Linked DNA regions of Sus scrofa. The protein of the gene in region 1 binds, or shares a complex with, the protein of each later gene. Links are inferred from orthologs where the notes say so. Each region holds a gene or a part of one and is shown in the gene's direction. Other genes may lie near its edges. The genes, in order: TNPO3, CIRBP and SRSF1.

Region 1 (3,828 bases):
CATACTTTTAAAGAAACTTCCATTTCTGTATCTGTTTCTCTAAATTTAAAATCTAATATACTGCTGGAGAAGTTCTTTTAGTGCTAAATGGAGAATGTAGGGCCAATCTTCTTAAGTGGAGTTTTAGACCTAACATGGGAAGATAATTTGGGAGGATAATAATAAATCTGCTAGATAGGTGGCTTCTTAACTGGTTCCATTCATAGTATTTAAAATCGTTTCTTTCCTATATGGCCATTATAATAATAAAACTATCTTCTTTTCTAATTCAAATAAACCATCTTTTCTCTTTCTTTTAATTTAATAGGTAGTAGAAATTTCCTTTAACTTTTGGTACCGACTAGGGGAGCATTTGTACAAAACTAATGACGAAGTTATTCATGGCATCTTCAAAGCTTACATTCAAAGACTGCTTCATGCCTTGGCTCGCCACTGCCAGCTGGAACCAGATCATGTAAGTTTTCTTCTCTGCTTAAATCTTGATTTCCTCCTCTTTTTGGTGTAAACTTGAAAAGGAACTGAAAAGATAGAGAATAAAGCTAATGGAATCTACAGGTTTTCTGTCACTCTATAGCTTACACTGAAGAAGTCAACACCAGTATAATGAAAAGTGCTAGGCTTGTGTAGAAAAAAATTAATCCTGCTGAGCCAGTAATTCTTCTGGGAATTCACCTTAAATAGTTTTGCAGGAGGAAAAAATTGCTTTTTAATGTACAAAGCATTGTCTATAAAAGTAAAAATGGTAAACCCATGTGCAAGAGTGTTAGAAGAGTTACATAAATCATGATGTAGCAACTTGATGGACCCTAATGCAGCAGTTAAAAATAATGATTTGAAATAGCAGTGGTTGGTATGCTAGATGAAAAAAGAATGTGAAACTTTATATTTTTAATAGCATAAAATATGTGGTTGAATTAAAACTAACATAAAAGTGGAATATTTGTGTGAGGATGTAGAGAATAATATATGATTCCCCCTCCACATATGTGCCCATTTTTCTTTATATTATTTATATTAACTTTATAATTTTAAAAGAAAATAAATATTTGCTTAAAAGAAAATATACTAGAGATCATATAAAATAGTCCATTGGAAGACTCTTCAACCTCATTCTTTGCTTAGTCTCTTCACATTTTAAAGCATTTATTTTATCCTTTTGGTTGGTTGGTTGAATATCCCTGTACTTCAACCTAGTGGGTTTTTTTTCCTTATTGCATACAATTAAATCTGACATGAAAACTGTATTCTGTTCATTTTAATGTTAACACTGTCATTTGCATTATAGTATTTTGTATTTCCACAGAACCTTCATGATGATTTGGTTTAGTGGTTTTCAGTACTTTTTTATTTTATGTTTTATTTATTTATTTTTTTTGTCTTTTTTTGCTATTTCTTGGGCCGCTCCCGCGGCATATGGAGGTTCCCAGACTAGGGGTCGAATCGGAGCTATAGCCACCAGCCTACACCAGAGCCACAGCAACGCTGAATCCGAGCCGCGTCTGCAACCTATACCACAGCTCACGGCAACGCCGGATCGTTAACCCACTGAGCAAGGGCAGGGATCGAACCCGCAACCTCATGGTTCCTAGTCGGGTTCGTTAACCACTGCGCCACGACGGGAACTCCATCAGTACTTTTTTAAAACAAACTGAGGAGTCTTATCTTGAAATACATCTTAACTTGAAACCCTGATATGTAAATAAGCAGGGCCTCTCTGGTTTAAATGGCTGAGCTTGCTTGATCCTGTTCTTCCCTTTGCTAGGTAGGTTTGTGGCACTATTTCCCTTGCAGGTAATTCCTTCCACTTGTTACTGATAGTGCTTTGTAACTCATTATCTTGTCTGAAACAGCCATTGTTTCCTTCCTTGACCTTAGTTTTTTCATCTTAAAGCAAAGCGGTTGAACTGTATGAGAACTGTAAGGGCTTTCCCCATACTTGTGATCCAAGATTCTTATACATGCCCTTAACCACCTCACAGTTCATAAGCCTCAGTTTACTCACAGGAGTGTGTTGGAATAAGAAAAACTTAAGAAGCATAAAATATAAAAGATCTCTCTTTTTGTGTGTGTGTGTGTCTTTTTGTCTTTTTGTCTCTTTAGGGCTGTACCTGAGGCATATGGAGGTTCCCAGACTAGGGAACTGTAGCCACTGGCCTATGCCAGAGCCACAGCAACACATGATCCCAGCTGCATCTGCAACCTATACCACAGCTCATGGCAACGTCAGATCCTTAACCCACTGAGAGAGGCCAGGGATCGAACCCAAGTCCTCGTGGATCCTAGTTGGGTTTGTTAACTGCTGAGCCACAATAGGAACTCCGATCTCTGTGTTTTTTCATGAAAATTTCAAATATACAACAAAGGTGCATTAATTTTATAGTGAATATCTATATACGTACTACCTAAATTCTACCATTAATATTATTCCTGTCTTACGTATCTATTCACCTATATAAAATTATTTTTAAAGTCTTAAATTCTATTCTGTGTCTAGTTACTGTGATAAAGGTTGATTTTGGTAGCTCTGGAACCATAAAACTTTAGAGGCTAACTCAGTAATAAAAAGCTAGACCTTATCTAGGTAGCCTTATAAACTCTTAAATTATCACTTTTTCTAGGTCACTTCCCATCCTTATCACTCCAAATTTTTCCAACAACAGGGCAAGATGTAGCTTGGACATGCTTAAAAAAAAGAAGAGTTTCTCATAGGAAAGGTAGAGAATAGGTTGTATTGTAATTTAGACTATTTATCTTTTGTTCATTGGGACTGGACTGCTTAATGGCTTTTTTATTCTTGATTATATAGAAGTCAGTGGAAGCTGTAGTGAGTTTAAAACAAATGTTAACCTGATTTGAATTTTTAGGAGGGGGTTCCTGAGGAGACTGATGACTTTGGGGAGTTTCGGATGAGAGTGTCAGACCTGGTGAAAGACTTGATTTTCTTGATTGGGTCTATGGAGTGTTTTGCTCAGGTGAGCCCGTTTGGAGATTCTTTCCAGTTTTACTGATCATTTTAATTTTGTTCACTTCTGTGTCTTCTCTAAGTGTTCCATCTTTTTCTTCAATCTCAATGGCGAAATGGGATAGTAGATATGCAAGTGCCTAGCACACTGCCTGGCATATAGTAGCTGTATTTACTTAGTATTTTGCAAGCCAATTGCAGTGAATGGTTCAGTTATGGTTTACTCTATTACTCTTGCTAGTGAGAGCTGTTCTACTTGTTCAGTTGGAATGGAAGATCACAGATAAACCTAAAAGCCCCCAAGATACTTATAGGGAATTTGGACCTAGCCAGGAAAAATAGGCAAGTTTCTCTGCTTTAATGTATCAACTCCTGGCAACTCTTAGTTATTTGGCATTTATTTCCTTTGCTCATACTGAACGGTTAGATTGCTTTGCCGTTTCATCTCAGAGGTGACTATGCTAGAGTAGAAGAGTCATGGTGCTGTGATTTTCCTGACAGTAACGTTTTACCTCCGAAGACTGCAGTCATCACCATTCCACATCACTTAACATGAGCTTAATTTTGGGTGGTTTTCATATTGCTGGATCATGCTCTGAACCCTGAAATACTAGTTTTGATGCTTTGTCAGCAATACTGAACTAACCTAATTTGGGGGGGTGGTAACCCAGATATTTTGTGTATTTGGGGACATCGTCTGATCTAGAAAGTGTTACTAGGATTATAACTTTTTCTTTATATTAAGCAGAGTATGTTTGTTGACCTAACTACAGAGAATTGGGGATTCTTAGAAAGCAGATTTGGTGAGATCCCCAGATCACAGGCAGATGACCTGTGATCAGATTTCAAGTCTTGTCTCACTGGCT
Region 2 (4,325 bases), on another chromosome or scaffold:
GGGACTGGAACTTTTCTGGGGCAGGCAGCAAAGCAAAGCATGGGTCTCTGCTCTAAAATCCCCCTGTTTTTATGCAGAGGGTCTGCCCTTTTAAGACTTTCTAGGGATATAGCTTGGGCCTCTGGTCTGGGCAGGCAGGGGTCTACACTAGCATTTTGTTGTTGTTAATTTTATGCCTGCACCAGCAGCAGATGGAATTTCCTCAGCCAGGGATTGAATACCTGCCACAGCTGCAACAGTGCCAGATCCTTAACCCACTGCACCAGGCAGGAGATGAAACCCTCGCCTCAGCAGGCAACTCGCTACCCTTAAGCAGCTGTGCAAGCTTTTTCCACCCCATGGAGGGTTCTGCGACACAGAAGGTAGTGTAACCAAGGCCTGGGCAGGGTGAAAGTGGTGGCCGTGAGAGGGGCTCCCATAAAGAGGGCATGGGGATCCAGAGGAGCAGCCCTGGGGGTAAAGATCCCTGCAAACCTGGTTCTCCTGTTGCAGAGGCCTCCGGATTCGGACTTTCATACAGGAAAAAGATTCAGGGGGAGGAGCCAAGGGAGTGCAGAATAGTGTTGGGGGGGGTGCTGGAGCACGTGATTAAGGGGAGGCGGGGGCTGAGCTGAATGTTGAGGTCCAGTGGGACTCAGGGCTGCGCCCAATTGTGGGTTTGAGAGGCCAGGACAAGGTCAGCCAGCCATCTAGTGCTGGGATGCACAAAAGGGTCTGGCCAGCTGACTGGGGGTGTGGGCGTTGCACTAGACGGAGTGAAGTCAGGATGCAAGTTGGGATTTGTAGGCAAACTGGGTTGGGTGAAATTGGGGTACCCCAAAGTTGTAAAGTAGGAAGAATGGGATCATGACGAATATTTTTGGGAGGGCTTTGGGGCCAGTCACGTTAAGCGGGACATTCAGGAGCATTGGGTTCTGGGCACTCTGGGGTGTCGGTTACACGTTGGCAAATATATAAGAACTGATGTCAGGATTCATCAGTTGGGGTGTCTGAGAGCTGATCCTCAGGTGCGTATGGGGATCTGGCTGAGGTCCTATGTGGGCGATTATTGGAGCACTGCAAAGGACGGGGTTGCAGCGGCCAGGGAGCTTTCCCAGGAGGAAGCAGCAGCCTGAACCCCTTTTGTTCCCCGCCGCAGGCCAGGGACTGGCACGCGGAAGTGGGTCAGCTCCGCCCAGCAGCGCGCTGGCCCCGCCCCCCGTCATGGTCTGGAGACTGCAGACCATGCGCATCCCCGCCAGGCACTTTGACCCCCGCCAGCACGCGGGAGGGGGCGGGGTCGGCACAGGCCCAGCCCCCCAACTCATAAATGTGAGGCACAGCCACGCCCTCAGGGGCCCTGGATTGGCCGACTCGGGGAGGGGGGGATGGGGGCGGGCTTAGGGGGGGCGGGTCCCAGCGGCAGCGTACAAAAGGCCGTACCCGGAAACTGCCCCCCCTCATTCGCGCGTTAGAAGGCTCAGGCCGTTGTGCTGTGCTGTCTTCCCGCCTGCGCCAGGGACCTGCCCAACTCAGTGGTGAGGGCCCTGGCGGTACCGGCTCCGCGGGCCCGGGGCGGCGGGCGGCCAAGGCGGGCCGGCCAAGGCGGGGCGGTGGCAGCACGCCCCTGGGCGGGGGGCGGTACCGGGGCGGGTCCGGGGTGGAGTCCGCTCCGCCGGCGGAGAGGGGTTGCGGAGACCGGGCCGTGCCGCGGCCGGAGGACGTCCTCCGCGGGCTAGAGCGCCGCGAGCGGGTCACCGCCGTAAAATGGCGGCCGCGAGAGCGAGGCTGCGCCCAGCGAAATGGCGGGAGCCCCGGGTACCCGGATGGAGTGGCGCAAGCCGCAGGCGGGGCGCATGCGCGGGGGCGGGGCCGGGGCTACTCCCCTCTTTCCTGTTGGAGTTGTGTGAGGGCGGCACATCATGGGTGCCGCCCACTCTCCGATCCCCAGGTTTGGGCCCAAACTTGCAAGGGGTTGCAAGGCTGCGGGTCGTCTTCAGGCCTGGTTTTGGAGTCATTCAGCGCAGGCCCCTTTCCTGTAAAGGGTCGCTTTAAGTCAGCACCTCCCCACATCCCGCTCCTTTTTAACATCATAGCACCCTACAGTAGACCAAGCACTTTGCCGCCCCTGTATAATAGAGAGGGTTAGAAGTTAGCTCCCTCCCCACCCCCCGACATGTTAGCAAAAGACAGAAGCCAGTGTGCACTCAGCCGGTGGCAGTGGAGATTGATGCCTTCCTTCATTGTCCAGCCCTAAACGTCCTGAGAGGGTGTCAGCGTAGCTGGAGTTTTGGGGTCCCAAATCCAGGCAGCACTGAAGAGTGCTTGCTGCAGAACCGCGGTCTGGCCCTAGCCTTCCGGGAGCCCCCAATTTCGGGAGTGGAGTTGGCCCAAGCACAGAAAAGGGGCAAGGGGGAGTGATAAAGGAATCAAGGGCTTGTTTGAATTAAGCCCTAGGTATGAGCTTGGGATGGTTAAAGGGCACAAAAGCAATTTTCCAATGTTTGTCCCAGGAGCGTGTGTTATTTGTCTAAAGTAAAAAACGGCGAGGGGGTGATTCTCCCGGCCCCTGCAGGACCTCTGAGGATTTCAGTGGTGTTTGCCACAGGTGACCATGGCATCAGACGAGGGCAAACTTTTCGTTGGAGGGCTGAGCTTTGACACCAATGAGCAGTCGCTGGAGCAGGTCTTCTCAAAATATGGGCAGATCTCAGAAGGTGAGGCTGGTTCCAGATTGGCTGGCAGCTGAGCAAGGCCGCTCACAGGGAGAGCTGGGTACTGACCTCAGACCTCTCCCTTGCACAGTGGTAGTAGTGAAGGACAGGGAGACCCAGCGATCGAGGGGCTTTGGGTTTGTCACCTTTGAGAACATTGATGACGCCAAGGACGCTATGATGGCCATGAACGGGAAGGTGAGAGGCGGCTGTCCTGGGGTCTAGAAGGTCCGGGCTGCAACCTGAGTGCAGGAGGTGCGGGGGCTAACCATATCGACTTCTGGTCTCCAGTCTGTGGATGGGCGGCAGATCCGGGTTGACCAGGCCGGGAAGTCATCTGATAACCGATCCCGTGGGTACCGAGGTGGCTCCTCGGGGGGCCGGGGCTTCTTCCGTGGGGGCCGAGGCCGGGGCCGTGGGTTCTCCAGAGGTGAGTGCCACTTGCAGGGAAGAGGTGGGGGCACTGCTTCAAGAGCTGACACTCACTTCTTGTCTCTGTATAGGAGGAGGGGATCGAGGCTATGGTGGTAGCCGGTTCGAGTCCAGGAGTGGGGGCTATGGCGGCTCCAGGGACTACTACAGCAGGTGAGGGTGGTGGGCCCATCTAGGGGCCAAGGGTGTCTGCCTGGATGCTGGCATGTGGGCTGCTCTAAGTAGCCTAAGGTACCGTCCAGCGCCCACCCATGTCCTTCCTACAGCCGGAGTCAGGGTGGCAGCTATGGTGACCGGAGCTCAGGCGGGTCCTACAGAGACAGCTACGACAGTTACGGTAAGTGGCGCTCTGAGGGCCTGCAGTGGGAGCACAGTGAGCCTTAGTGCCCTTTGTGGGCAGCGCTCAGACCTGCTCACTGCTTGCCCACAAGGTCCAAGACTGCCCTCCTGGGTCTTGGTGCCAGCAGCCATTTCTACCACAAACATAATCGTGAAACTAGATTGACCAAGAAGGAAAGGGAGAGCGAGGGCCCACGGAGCAGGCAGCATAAGTGCATGTGGGCCTGCCGTCGCCCGCCACCCTCGGCCGTGGGGGGGTTGGTTGCCCCCGAGGCCGCAGGGCTGAGCCCCCAGGTCTGGGCCCGGGCGTGGAATGCTGCGTCCTGTCGCGTGCTTCAGTGCCTTTACACTGTGCCTGCTTCTTCTTCTCAGCTACACACAACGAGTAAAAATCCTGCTCAAGATCGTCCTTCCAATGGCTGTATATTTAAAGATTTTGGGAGCTCCGCTGAATCGTTAATGTGTAGTGAATCCACCTCCTTGTACCCACTTTTGTAGTCTTATCAGTTCCTATCTTGTCAAACACAGCCTGACTGCTTCTGACCCCAGATGGCCTCATTATTACACTTTTCTTTTTAAAGAAGTGCCATCTGTTTTTGAGGATTTTGAACATGTTTTGCAAAGCACTTCAGGTTTTACTTTTTATCGTGAGCCATGAGCTTTTTAGAAAAATCATTGAGGGTTGCGAGAGTTTGAGTTTGGGTTGTGTTGCCTTTTTTCTCTTTTTCGTGGGGTCGGCCCCAAGTAGTTAGGGGCCCCGAGTCACTTGTCTTTTGAGTCTGAACGGACTCTGAATCCGCTCTTTGTCGGAAGCTGAGCACACTGTGGCTTTTTTTCAGCTCCGTGTAATGTTCCTGAGCG
Region 3 (4,628 bases), on another chromosome or scaffold:
AAATATCTATCATTGGAGGATGATCTAAAAGACAAAAAAACTGTGCGATACCCAGTTTTGAAAACCATCAGATTTCAAGGACTACTACTAAAGATCTTCTGTGAATCTGTTGAGCAGCAAATTAAATTTGCATTTTGGGATTACTGAGAACACTGTTAAAATACATGCAATCGCCTTTTAGAACTGAAAACATGACCTTCTGAAAAATCTTTTTAAGGCACTTTGGATCTTGAATATACTGTTTCCTTCTTTACTGTGACTGCCATGATGACTAGGGTCAAATTTGTAATCCATCTTTAGAACTCACAAATTTTTACTGCAGCCATTTTGTGTATTAACTTTATCCATGACTTCATTTTAATTTCCCCTTATATTCTCCGTGATTTCTCCATTCAATTGCAATAACGTTTTCTGGTATCTCTGTAAACAGCATCACATCACTGGGGAGAGGGATTGATGCGAATAAATAAAAATGAAGAAAATCATCCTCTCAATCAGGGTGCAGACCTGTTTCAGCATATTTATGACAGGGTTTTTTTTTTAATTTGAATTCACCATTAATATTTTAAAATCCCAGTATTTCATATAAAAATCCAGATTTCAGATGGCTCCGTGGCAAAATGTAACAAGTTCTTATCTCCCTGGACCAACATGCTGGCGAGATGAGTCCTTAAGCCGCCACTTCGGTCTCCAGTGGTCACAGAAATCCTCACACATCCACTTTGCTCATTCATATTACCTGAGAGATTTGCTAATGAGTTCCAAAAAAGGAAGGAACGTCAGGATTCTGCAATACAAACAGGAGGGCGCGCGTCTTTTTCGTTCTTTGAAAGACGTTGTAGAAATAACAGACACAATTCATTCTGCAAACCTTCACTGGACCTCTCCGCTGCGCTGGGCCCTGGCGATAGGTGATTTAAAAAAGAAGCAGAGGTCTGGGTCCTGGTTGGCTGATGCCGCCAGGAATTACCGCCACGAGCACAAGGAGCGTTGAACTGAGGTCAGTTCTGAACCGAAGGTGGAACGGTACTTAGCGTAGAATATTTATTAAAGCGTCTCAGCCAGGTTCCCCTGCATTAGACAGTCGTCCAAGCAGTCCACGGCCCGTTCGCAGATGGGGCGGGAAGACAAAGTCACGTCTCGGCTCCGCGTTGATTCACCCGCAACGCGACTCCTGAACGAGGTGCACTCTCCAAGGATGCCCGTGTTTCCGGAGCAACCGCCTGGTCCCTCCCCCTTTGACTCCGCCCCCGGCAGTCTTTCCCGCCAAAGGCCGTTAACAGCGCAGAGCATGGTGGGACCTAGCTTTAGGCTAGGTTTCACCAAATACTTTCAAGACGCCGTTTTTTTGAGAGAAACATTCCTGAGGAAACTGCTGATTCTTTAGGATTCGACAGAGATTAATAACCCCTTTTACGAGAGCTCTATATTTAATTTTGCCACAAGGCTGGTCACTCCCTTATTAAACCCCTCGACAAATCGGGAAGGCGGGAACTTTTTTCCCTTCGCGCGGAGGGTGACGTCGCGCTTGCGCGAGCGTCACTCTCGCAGCACCCGTTACGCTCTTGCGCGTGCGTAGTGAGATCGAATAGCTGCTTCCTCCCGCTTCTCTTCCTCCCTCCCCCCCATATCCGTGCGCCGAGCTGATAAAGGCGCCATTTTGGAGGGGCCGCGGGAGACGTGGTGTCGCTGCGGGCTCGCTCTCCCGCTCGCTAGGCTTGGTGGGAAGGCCTGTTCTCGAGTCCGCGCTTTTCGTCGCCGCCATGTCGGGAGGTGGTGTGATCCGTGGCCCGGCAGGGAACAACGATTGCCGCATCTACGTGGGTAACTTACCTCCAGACATCCGAACCAAGGACATTGAGGACGTGTTCTACAAATACGGTGCTATCCGCGACATCGACCTGAAGAATCGCCGCGGAGGACCGCCCTTCGCCTTCGTTGAGTTCGAGGACCCGCGGTGAGGCGGCCAGGGGCTTGCGGCCTTGAGGAAATAGGTTGGAGTAGTTGGGGAAGGCTCCGGGGCCTTCACTTGGGGAATGGGGCGGTGGGTTCTTGGGTTGGGGGCCAGACGATATCGCCCATGCAGGAGTCGAGTAAGGAGCCGAGTCGGCGTGGCTCCTCTGGTGGCCGGGCCCCACGGACGTCCCTAGAGCCGACTCGCAGGCTCGGAGCGGGAAACTGAGGCGCCGAGGGCTGCTGGAGTGGTCGGGAGCCTGGCGTGCTTCTGGGTGGGGGAGGGGCCGTTCCTATTATGCGGCGCATGTGGGCTCTTCCACCCCGGTGCGCATGTGCGGGGGCCCGCTCGCTCCCCGGCGGAGTGAGCCGCCCCTCCTGGCCCTTTTTTTTTTTTTTTCTTCTTTTCCTTACCCCTTGGCTTTCTCTGGTCACGCAGAGACGCAGAAGACGCGGTGTATGGTCGCGACGGCTATGATTACGATGGATACCGTCTGCGGGTGGAGTTTCCTCGAAGCGGCCGTGGTACCGGCCGAGGCGGCGGCGGGGGTGGTGGCGGCGGGGCTCCCCGAGGGCGCTATGGCCCCCCATCCAGGCGTTCTGAAAACAGAGTGGTTGTCTCTGGTGAGTTGGCGGGTCCGTGCGGATTGATGATAAGGGGACCGCACACCGTTTTGAAGTTTTTCTTGGTGTTTTCATGCCAGGTCTTCACTTAAACCGGAGTGCCTTGGGTGACTTTAGTTAACAAGGACTACTCTATTTGAGACTTAGCGAATTAGGTTGCAGTACCTAGAAGATAAGAAGAGCCTTAACTTTACAAATAATTTTGGACTCTTGATTCCGAACTCTTTTAACAGCTCGTTAAACGGGATGTTAAAGACCGTTGGTTTTAAGTCTTGTTTTAATGTAACCTTTATGTTTAATGTGAAACTTAGGATAATTGGTATTGAAAGAAAACGCACTTTTTCAGGACTGCCTCCAAGTGGAAGCTGGCAGGATTTGAAGGATCACATGCGTGAAGCAGGTGATGTATGTTATGCTGATGTTTACCGAGATGGCACTGGTGTCGTGGAGTTTGTACGGAAAGAAGATATGACCTATGCAGTTCGAAAACTGGATAACACTAAGTTTAGATCTCATGAGGTAGGTTATATTCTTTTCCTTGGCCAGAATTGGATACAGTGGTCTTAACAGTGGAATTTGAAGGTAAGATTCAGGCAAGGGTGTCCAAGTAAAAACCCAGTAAAGTGCCAGATTTCTGGTTTGAGTTACGTTGATTCATTCAGCATGCCTGAAGACAGGTGAAAGCTTAGATCTTTCAATCGAAAGTTCTGTCTATCCAATAGGGAGAAACTGCCTACATCCGGGTTAAAGTTGATGGGCCCAGAAGTCCAAGTTATGGAAGATCTCGATCTCGAAGCCGTAGTCGTAGCAGAAGCCGTAGCAGAAGCAACAGCAGGAGTCGCAGTTATTCCCCAAGGAGAAGCAGAGGATCACCACGCTATTCTCCCCGTCATAGCAGATCTCGCTCTCGTACATAAGATGATTGGTGACACTTTTTTGTAGAACCCATGTTGTATACAGTTTTCCTTTATTCAGTACAATCTTTTCATTTTTTAATTCAAAACTGTTTTTGTTCAGAGTGGGCTAAAGTGTTGAATTGCATTCTTGTGTAATATCCCCTTGCTCCTAACATCTACATTCCCCTCATGTCTGATAAATTGTATTTTAAGTGATGTCATAGACAGGATTGTTTAAATTTAGTTAACTCTCCATGCTCTTCAGACTGTGATACTGTGTAAATGTCTATTCTGCTCTGGTTTGTGTGAACTGGGATGTTGGGGGTGTTGGTGGTTATCTTACCTGGGGAAGTTCTTATGTTTATCTTGCTTTTCATGTGTCTTTCTGTAGACATATCTGAAGAGATGGATTAAGAATGCTTTGGATTAAGGATTGTGGAGCACATTTCAATCATTTTAGGATTGTCAAAAGGAGGATTGAGGAGGATCAGATCAATAATGGAGGCAATGGTATGACTCCAAGTGCTATTGTCACAGATGAAATTGGCAGTATTGACCTTATACTAAAAGGCAAGGGTTTAAAGTGATTATATACATCTATCTTAAAACACTTGAAAACATTTTATGCAGTTATATTTGGCTACAATTGCTTTACTCTTTAAAACTCTGGCAATTGTGGCAAAATTACATGGCCCATTTTGTAACAATTTGTTTTGCTCCCTTCCCTTTTTTGTTTTATTAGGGACTAATGTGGGAAGAACTGATTAATTTGTCACAGTGCTTAGTTACAACTGTTAATGTGTGACCTGCTGTTGGTGTACTTGTGGGTACAGGGTGTCTTTAATTCCAACCAGATAGAGTATAATATCAATACTGCTAAATCTGCATGTCCTCTGTGTGACTGATATAATAGCGTTGCTACTTCATTTTTTTAAGACAAAATGAAAGCAAAATAATAGAATTCCAATTTATTGGTGTAGATAATCTAGTTGGGAATACTTTTTAAGTCTCACGTTCCCCTTTAATATTCATAATTGACTCATGTTTAAAACACTTTAATTTACAAATTAAATTGCAGTTGGGAGCATTAGATTTAGTTTAGACTTAGGTGGGTAGCAATACCAGTAAACTTTTAAACTACATAACTTTTTGCAA

What was found.
Region 2: the proteins of TNPO3 (region 1) and CIRBP are in contact, whole or in part, in a crystal structure (PDB 8CMK), measured with the Homo sapiens proteins. The link is inferred for Sus scrofa from reciprocal best matches to the Homo sapiens genes TNPO3 and CIRBP. Residues at the interface, in NP_036602.1 of Homo sapiens: Arg620, Glu660, Arg661, Cys663, Arg664, Arg667, Phe668, Arg671, Ser698, Cys699, Tyr702, Ser705, Ile706, Asp709, Glu710, Asp747, Asp750, Asp751, Arg754, Arg758; in NP_001271.1 of Homo sapiens: Tyr160, Arg161, Ser163, Tyr164, Asp165, Ser166, Tyr167, Ala168.
Region 3: the proteins of TNPO3 (region 1) and SRSF1 are in contact, whole or in part, in a crystal structure (PDB 4C0O), measured with the Homo sapiens proteins. The link is inferred for Sus scrofa from reciprocal best matches to the Homo sapiens genes TNPO3 and SRSF1. Residues at the interface, in NP_036602.1 of Homo sapiens: His155, Arg157, Arg160, Thr167, Tyr254, Ile256, Glu257, Glu304, Glu340, Ile341, Phe343, Asn344, Tyr347, Arg348, Glu351, His352, Lys355, Thr356, Arg620, Asn656, Glu660, Arg661, Arg664, Arg667, Phe668, Arg671, Ser698, Cys699, Tyr702, Ile706; in NP_008855.1 of Homo sapiens: Ser116, Arg117, Arg118, Ser133, Trp134, Gln135, Lys138, Asp139, Arg142, Glu143, Gly145, Asp146, Cys148, Tyr149, Ala150, Asp151, Val152, Tyr153, Arg154, Val172, Arg173, Asp176, Asn177, Arg181, His183, Tyr189, Ile190, Arg191, Arg198, Pro200.

Annotation. Positions count from the first base shown.
Region 1 is NC_010460.4:19,631,442-19,635,269, forward strand, and holds part of TNPO3 (transportin-3), read left to right. Parts: intron 1-307; coding exon 308-454; intron 455-2,864; coding exon 2,865-2,972; intron 2,973-3,828. UniProt on the Homo sapiens protein: Importin, which transports target proteins into the nucleus. Specifically mediates the nuclear import of splicing factor serine/arginine (SR) proteins, such as RBM4, SFRS1 and SFRS2, by recognizing phosphorylated SR domains.
Region 2 is NC_010444.4:77,191,436-77,195,760, reverse strand, and holds the start of CIRBP (cold-inducible RNA-binding protein), read left to right. Parts: upstream 1-1,387; 5' UTR 1,388-1,517; intron 1,518-2,492; exon of another isoform or gene 2,493-2,587; 5' UTR 2,588-2,593; coding exon 2,594-2,696; intron 2,697-2,784; coding exon 2,785-2,891; intron 2,892-2,984; coding exon 2,985-3,123; intron 3,124-3,196; coding exon 3,197-3,278; coding exon of another isoform or gene 3,279-3,282; exon of another isoform or gene 3,283-3,391; coding exon 3,392-3,509; 3' UTR 3,510-3,836; coding exon of another isoform or gene 3,837-3,853; 3' UTR 3,854-4,325. UniProt on the Homo sapiens protein: Cold-inducible mRNA binding protein that plays a protective role in the genotoxic stress response by stabilizing transcripts of genes involved in cell survival. Acts as a translational activator.
Region 3 is NC_010454.4:34,279,164-34,283,791, reverse strand, and holds the start of SRSF1 (serine/arginine-rich splicing factor 1), read left to right. Parts: upstream 1-1,673; 5' UTR 1,674-1,763; coding exon 1,764-1,957; exon of another isoform or gene 1,958-2,384; intron 2,385-2,392; coding exon 2,393-2,577; intron 2,578-2,923; coding exon 2,924-3,096; intron 3,097-3,299; coding exon 3,300-3,494; 3' UTR 3,495-4,628. UniProt on the Homo sapiens protein: Plays a role in preventing exon skipping, ensuring the accuracy of splicing and regulating alternative splicing.